2 linked regions of the Cricetulus griseus genome follow. The protein of the gene in region 1 purifies or fractionates together with the protein of each later gene. This does not show direct contact. Links are inferred from orthologs where the notes say so. Each region holds a gene or a part of one and is shown on either strand. Other genes may lie near its edges.

The links. Proteins that work in one complex are often made in the same cells at the same time.
Region 2: the proteins of Stx18 (region 1) and Rint1 purify together in Homo sapiens (co-immunoprecipitation; 6 studies listed by BioGRID and IntAct, counting the BioPlex papers as one, with this or other methods). This does not show direct contact. The link is inferred for Cricetulus griseus from reciprocal best matches to the Homo sapiens genes STX18 and RINT1.

What each region holds. Positions count from the first base shown.
Region 1 is NW_023276807.1:106,983,776-106,988,177, reverse strand, and holds the start of Stx18 (syntaxin-18), read right to left. Parts: upstream 3,024-4,402; 5' UTR 3,012-3,023; coding exon 2,756-3,011; intron 1-2,755. UniProt on the Homo sapiens protein: Syntaxin that may be involved in targeting and fusion of Golgi-derived retrograde transport vesicles with the ER.
Region 2 is NW_023276806.1:170,805,858-170,809,738, forward strand, and holds part of Rint1 (RAD50-interacting protein 1), read right to left. Parts: intron 1,860-3,881; coding exon 1,749-1,859; intron 1,658-1,748; coding exon 1,432-1,657; intron 855-1,431; coding exon 717-854; intron 1-716. UniProt on the Homo sapiens protein: Involved in regulation of membrane traffic between the Golgi and the endoplasmic reticulum (ER); the function is proposed to depend on its association in the NRZ complex which is believed to play a role in SNARE assembly at the ER.

The DNA of each region.
Region 1 (4,402 bases):
CCTGCTGCTCTGGATATGCAGCTTCTGGGTACTGTGTAGTGGCTACCTTGGTGTCTATAACCTCTATTAAGTTAACAAGGAAGAAGCGCTGCAATCACACAGCATCTCCAGGCCCAGCCCATTCTCAAAGTCATTCAAGACATGCAGGTAAGTTGGAAGCATCTATCCTAATAGACAATGTGCTTGAATAATAATGTGCTCAGTAATGTCAGATGCATCAGGCACCATTAGATATGTATTTGCCCACCACCCTTTGTTTCCATTCCTGAACACAGCACTCCCCTTCCAAAGTTCTGGTGGGGCTTTAATCATAATATCCAAGTCACCTACTGGCCACACTCTGCAATGGACATGTGGCCTAGCCAACTAAAGAACCTTATTCCTGAGAACACAACAAAGGTTTTGGGGTCCAAGTAGGAACAGGTCCACCCCTGGGGTTTTATGGATGAGAGCTACAGAAAGACACACCAAGCCATTAGTTACGTGAGCCAACACACATATTCTGGTTTTGATTGTAATGAAAAATTATAATAGAGTCCACGAAAGCCTGGATAAAGAGAAGTCGGGTATTTATTGGGGAATTACTCACAAATGACAAAGCCCTTGGATGCTGCCATCTACCTTCTGACCACCATCCAAGAGAGTGTAAGAGCTTTCTCCCAGTCCATATGTAGTACCTAAGACCCTGCCCTGAAGGGGCCGTTACATTAAAGACTAATGGCTGAAAGAATCCCCGAAACACTGGGTGGTTTATAAGTTACTATTACTTGTAAACAAAGATTTCAGACTCTCACAGGCACTTGCACACCATTCATCATTTCATCCATCAAGTGACCTTCTAAAGTGGCTATCATTCTTAGAAAAAAAAAAAAACAGGTAATTGAGGTTAAGCAACTTCTTGACCTCACTCAGCCAGAAAGAAATTTAAATCCAAGCCCTTCTGCTCCAAGTCCCATGTACTATGAACTCTCAAGAAGAAAAACACTTTGACATTGAAAAGTCCAAAAACTCTGTTTAAAATTATTATGTGGGGTGGTGTTGAGTGATGATTGAGTGATTAGGAATGCTTACAGCTCTTGCAGACAATTCAAGTTCAGGTCCAAGTATCCAAGTAGGTTGGCTTACAACCACCTGTAACTCTAGCTCCAGGGGATCTGATATCCTCTTCTGGCCTCCCATGGGCACCCCCACATACATGGTGCGCATGCATGCATGCATGCATGCACACACACACCTTTTAAAATTTTAGGTGGATATTTAAGATACAAAACCAGAGGGAGAAAAACCACAGAACTAGCAAAGCAGAGTTGGCTTCTACCTCCAGCTCTAGGACATGGCCTCAGTTGCAAAGACTTGGGACCCCTCACTGCACTTGTCTGAGTGTTGTCTTCCCACTTATAAAGATGATTAGTCTGAACAAGATGAATTCCAGGCCCTTTAAAAGTCTGTTCTGAAAAGTCTAAGTTCTGTTTAGATATGCAATCAATTTTTAACCAGTTGCTGGGTAGAACCTCAAGCAACTTGACATCAAGCCCAGCAGTTGGTAATGGCTCTAAGGGCACAGAATTGAGGGGTTCTGAGCTACAAGATCTATTGGAAAATGAGTGCTGGCTTCTGTGGTACCACAGAAGCAGCATGTAAGAATATATGCGTAGGCTTGACATGTTTGCCATTGCTGACATTTCCCCTTTAACTCAGATGTGCTAGTCTCTTTCTACCCCTGGGGCTGCCTGAACCTTCAAAGAATTGTCATCCCTAAGGCTTTTAAATGAAAATAATTGAAAATGCATTTTCAGCACTTGGGGTGCAGTCCAACTGATAGCAAAGCTCTCTCCCCACAGGGCTTCTAGCTGAACTGTGCTTCTTAACTCTACTGTTTCCAAATCCCCTATTCCTGAGGACTGAAAATCTGTGCAGTGTTAATAATAAACCACCAATTTCAGGAAGGGCCTTCACATACCAAAACTGTGCTGTCCACACACTGAGAGCAACCTCCACAACAGTTTAGCCAGACTGAGGGTAGGGAGTGAGGACACCTTATTTCCCCTTCCTCTCATTTCAAACTGAGACATGCCCCCTTCAATGTAATACAGGGATAATAGGAAATGTGATATATGATATATATGATGAAGTCAATGGAGTTTTGTTGTGCTTTTGTTTTGTTTGTTTGTTTTTGAGACAAGGTTTCTCTGTGTAGCTCCAGATGCCCCGGAACTCACTCTGTAGACCAGGCTGGCCTCGAACTCCCAGATCTGCCTGCCTCTGACTCTCAAGTGCTGGGATTAAAGGCATGTGCCACCATACCAATGGAGTTTTTTAAACTGTTTCAAATAAAAAGGGAGTTCAGCTGAAAGTGGATTTTAAACCCTATGCGCAAGGGGAGGCCCAAACATATACATGAAAAGGGCAAAGGTAGAGAGTGGTGAACGTTGCGACAGGAAGCGAAGGACTGTGGGAACTTTTCACTGGCAGTCAAGTCAGCAGTGACAGCGAACTCACTGCCTCAACTTAGCCATCAACTTCTTACTACATGGATAACCAAGCATCTCTAAGTCTTGCTTGCTACAGTGCTCGGATACACGTCCCTCTTTCCTTATAATAAACCTGTCGCTGCCCCTAGCCAGCTGTCGGCTGCGTGAGACCGACTCCCTCTCTTCACTCGGGGCTTACAAGGCTGGGTCGAGTTTGGAGTTCAGGGTCCCGGGTGCAGATCTGCCCCATCTCCGGCTCGGCGTTTCCATAGCAACCAGCTTACCACTTCGCGAGCCCGGCTGGAGAAGTCTCCCTTGGGCCGAGGGCTTCGGCGGAACAGCTCGTCCCGGCTGCCATCGGCCCCGCCACCCACCGCTACTCCCAGAGCCTTGTTCCGTGTCTTCACCGTCTTGACGCTCGCCCGGAAGAGGAGTGTGATGTCCACCGCCATAGCGACCCACACCGCAGTCAGAAGCCGGTCGGCACACGTCAGCAGCAAGCGACCCCGGCAAGAACCGGGTCGGGGAGGGACGTTCCATTTTTGCACGCCTCCGCCCAGGAACTGTGAGCAGAGAAGAAAGGTTCCGCTCTCCGCCCGTGTACCACGGCGAGTGGAGAAAGGTTCCGGCCTCAGTTACGAAAGCGGACTCTTCACTCTAGACGGAGACACTCAGTATCTCCACACTCGTTTCTCCTCGCTGCAAACCGGCAAGCTCAGACGCTCGGAAACTTCCCGGTGCTTTTAGAACTGGGGTTCAAGGAACGACAGTATCATGAAGCCAGAAAAAGTGCTCCATTACGATTCTTTAGAAGGCAGGCGGTTTGGTTGACAGGTGCGAGGAGTATCACCTTTGACCTTTGGTGTCAAGGGTTCCCCTTTGAGCAGCAATGAATGATGACCGGAGCTAGAACAGGGTAAGTGTTCAAGAAACAGAGTTAGAGGCCAGTGGCCTTTCTTCTTCAACCTTCAGCCACTTCGTAAAACGAATCCAGCGCCTTCTTTGGAATGCACAGAGAGTTGAACAGAAGGCGCATATAAAACGTTTTCATGTTGTTTGACTCTTAGTATGTGGCCATTAGGCATTGCCGATGTTGATAATATGGTTGTTCACAGTCTTCTTACATATGATGCTGAAGAGGCTTAGAGCATAGATGAGGAGAGCTTGCAGGAATGTATCAGAGTCAGACAAAAGTGAAAGTCAGTGAAACATACTGACCTTGATCGTGAGTTATGTGCTGAAAAGTGCTCTCTTGAATCATAGTTATAGGGAAAGGAGGAAGGGGGAAGAATGAGAGTTACTTAAGTTGACTAAAGTCAGACAGTAAGATTTTTCTGAAAGCTTGACTCGTGGTTCATTTTATTTTTTATACACTTTTAACTAAAATACAATTACACCCTGTTCCCTCCTCCATTCCCTTTCCCTGTTCCAATCCCCTCAGTTCCTCTCCCTCCAACTCCTTCATCATTCTCCTTTTCGGTCTCAAATTGATAGCCTCTTCTCCCTGGATTATTATTGTTACATAAAAGTATCCATAGATATATAACCCCATTCTGCGGAGTCTGTTTTTTGTTTGTTTGTTTTGTTTTTTATTGTTGTTGTTTGTGTGTCTATGGTTTCCAGGATAGTCACTTTGTATTGGACAACCAATTAGTGGGCCCATCCCTAGGATAGGCTAACCATCCCTCTCTCATCAATCATAGTTGCCTGGAGGCCAGTAGTTTCTTGTCCAGGGGTGTGACCCTGTGGTTCAGTTTTAATTTAATATGGACAATATAACTATGATGTGTGTTAAAATGCAGCTTTTAACCGTCAACAAGATGAAAAGCTAGTCTCATACTAACCCTGGGATCATATTTGCCTTTGCACTTGCATGCCCTAATCAGTTGTATGGCTGAGTTTTCCAGAGACACTCATCTTACAATAGGCTA
Region 2 (3,881 bases), on another chromosome or scaffold:
TATAAAACCAAAAGTGAGATACTGTCCTAGATTTTTATTAGTGTGGGAAAAACATGAAGTTACTATACTGCTATATATATAAACCAAACAAACAAACAAAAAAAAATCCCACCTGAAACTTACTACTCTTTTGCTTCTTTGGCTTTGGAAACAACGTTTCTCTGTGTAGCACTGGCTGTCTTGGACTTGCTCTGTAGACCAGGCTGGCTCTGCCTCCCAAGTGCTGGAATTAAAGGCTTGTGCCACCACCTCCCAGTGAAACTACTTACTTTAACGATTTAGTTATTTTTATTTTATGTTATAAATGTGTGCCTGCATGTGTACATGTGAACTACATGTATGCCTGGTGCCTGAGGAGGCCAAAGGGCACTGGGTTCTCTAGAAGCTTATGAACTAGGAGCTAAATCAGGTTTTCTGTAAGAGAAGCGAATATTCTTATCTGCTGAGCTATCTCTCAAGCCCCAAACTAACTACAATTAGTTTAGGTGTTTTGTTTGTTCCTTGTTTTTTTTGTTTTGTTTTGTTTTGTTTTTAAGACAGTCTCATATATCCCAGGCTGACCTCAAACTTGCTTTGTAGCTGAGACTGGCCTTAAGCTCTTGGTCCTCCTGCCATGTTTCTACCTCCCAAAATGGGATTACAAGTGTGCAACTCCATACCTAGCTTAAAAACTTCATTTTAAACTAACATCATACATTAAAAAAACCTGTACTTACCAGTTATAACCAAAAGTAAAGTCATAAAAACTTCTGCACAGTCTGGAACCTTCATTTCATCCACATCAGTGATGTCTTTATATTGGGATACCCAAACAGCCTCTGATGAGAGCATTGAGTCCATTTTTTGAAGAGCAACTAACAAGACAAAAAGAAGGATCATGTCAAGGAGTTACAGTCATTCTTAATTTATCAACTTACACTTCTTAGCAATGAATTTTTTTCATACAAAATAAATTTTCAATCTCCCACTAACTGCACTATATTTAAAATGTTCTACTTTAGAGTTAAATAAGATACCTTGCTCTCCCTCCTCTCAAATCCTCAAAATAGTTAAGCTGACTGGATATGGCACATCCAAAAATACTCAACCAAGTAGAATAGTACATGGCAAAAATCTATGAAACAGCAATATCCTCTACTGACTCAATATTTCAACATGCAGACTTTAATTCCAAGAAAAAAAAATCTCCAAAAAATGTACACACCAAAAACAGATTGCCAGGCAGTGGTGGTACATGCCTTTAATCCTAACCCTTAGGAGGCAGAGGCAGATAGATCTCAATAAGTTTGAGGCCGACCTAGTCTATATAGAGAGTTCTAGGCCAGTCAAGGTTACACAGTGAGACCCTGTCTAAAAATAAAACAAAAAGCAAGCAAGCAAACAAAAAAATTGAGACAGCCCTCCCAACTCAATGGCCACAGGAGCACTTACATTTTCTCTCCACAGTTAACCATCTCTGAAAACAGGTTTCCTCTGACAGAATATGCATACAACTGGCAAAAGTGCTAGGATAGCCATGAACACTGTGCAGCTCCCTTTCAAACAACAGCACCTCATCCACCAAATGACAGAAAAGGTTGTCATCATAGAGCAGGCAAGGTATATCAGAAGCCAGCTTCTCAAGAATGAGCATCACAAGGCCCCGAGAAAACTCAAGCTGAAAGAAACAAACAGGTACGAGGAACCATGTTGGTCAGACACATGAACAATTCTAATGCAGCTGAAATGCACAGACCTCAGCCTCTTACCCTGGCGTTTACTGCACAGCCTGCCTTATCCAATATGGGCTGAATCTTCTCATCCAGAAAGTGAGCATGGCTTCCAATCCACATAAGCACCTGAGCCAAGTACCATTCAGGCTAAGGGGAAAGGAGATGACTTCCATTCTTTATCTATTCTTTTGTCACAGACAATTCTCATTAAATGCATTTCATTATAACCAAACACAAAAATTGGTTGAAAGTTCCTATATGTAAGACAGTAACTCAAACCCACAGAAGACTTCATATCAAATGTTTCCCAATATACGCAACAAATTTCACTAATTTGGCTTAAGTCAGTAAACTCATAAATCTAAAATACCATATTGGAGTTAGGGGTACTTAGTAGTGTAATGTTTGCTTAGGTATAAAAAGCCTTGGTTTCAATCCCCAGGACTACAAAAAAAGGTTGGGGGGGGGGCATAATGACAACAATGAAAATAAGACAGTCATGTACACTTAAAAGCTAACATCTGCCCAGCACATACAAAACCCTAGGTTCTAGAGCAAAGCAAAGTCACCAGCAGGGTGGCTCTGTGGGCAAAGGGACCTGCCAGCAAGCTTAACAGCCTGAGTTTGTTCCCTGGAATCCACATAGTGGAGGAAAAGTGCCAATTCAAACAGGTTGTTCCTCTGATCTACACAGAGAGAGAGAAATAAAACGCTGGTTTATTTTTAAAGTCCTCCAAACTAGCATGATGAGGTATTACAAACAACTGATATCTTTGAAATTGTTTTTTGAAATAGCATTCCAAAAAAAGGTTTTGGGGATAGGATCTCATGTAGCTCATGCTTAGCTTCAAACTCCTTATTTCCCCCTTTTGGTTTTTCAAGACAGTGTTTGTTTCCCTATGCAGTCTTGGCTGTCCTGGAACGTACTCCATAGACCAGGCTGGCCTGGAACTCACAAAGATCCACCTGCCTCTGCCTCCCAAGTGCTGGGATTAAAGGTGTGTGTCACCAACACTATACTTATGCTTTCTTTTTTCAAAAGCAAAAATAAGGAAAAAGTCAGCTGATCTACATTACAACTACATCCAAGCCTTAAAATGGCTGTAACTATGGAAAGGAAATGTAGGCACAAAGAATTTAATATTTTTATTACATTTTTCTCTGTGTATACATGCACATTTGAATGTATGAGTATGTGGCCGTGAACAAGTGTCACAGTGAACAGTTGGCATTAACAAGACAACCTTTAGGAGTCGGTTCTCTCTTGCTACCATATGGTCCTGGGAACCAAACTCAAGCTGTCAGGCTTAGAGATGTGTGTGGCCACACCCACTGGGACACCTCACCAGCCCCACATCATGCTTCTTAAGTTGTCTTTAGAGAGGATTCTGCAAACAACATCCCAAGTTTTTCTAGACAACTCAAAAACATATACAAAGCTGGGGATATAAGTCAGCACTTTTCTAGCATGTGGAAGGCCCTGGGTTCAATCCCCAGCACTGGAGGAAGAAACTTACTGACTGTTAAATCCCTATGATGTTCCAAAGGTTGGGAATACAAATAAGGGCAAAGTCTAATCTCAAGGACTGTCTCACTTTAGGTCTAGTGACAGTGTATTAAATTCATTAGGATCAGACTTTCAAACTGAGCCAACACAACTCAAAATTTACTTATACCAAATTATATTATTGCCTTTCTACAAGTTCAGTTTATGTTTTGCCTCATTTACTACTGAGTACTAAATGATTCTGCTATTCCAACAACCCTCTATCCAAAAATGAAACTCATAAAATATAAACAGGAATATACTAAGTTCATTCATGTGCATGTATAATACTTGCCTGGTGTGATCTTGCACTAAATTCAGAATTGACCCTGTTCTATGCACTGCATTGGCTGAGGCAAACATCAAGAATAAACAAGGTAGTGCTCACAACCTTGTAGATTATAATTATGGAAAAACGCCAACAGGATACACTGGTGTGGCCCCTCAGTTCAAATTTTTCTGTCACTTACTGCCATGATGTCTCTTCTGCGGCTATGAATCACTTTGGCACTGGCAACCCTAGTCAACATCCAATGCTCTATCTTGTGGAAGGAGTCACATCTCTTTCACGCTATTTATAGACCTACAGGAGTGGTCTGTACAGTGAAGACTAGGCATTGTAA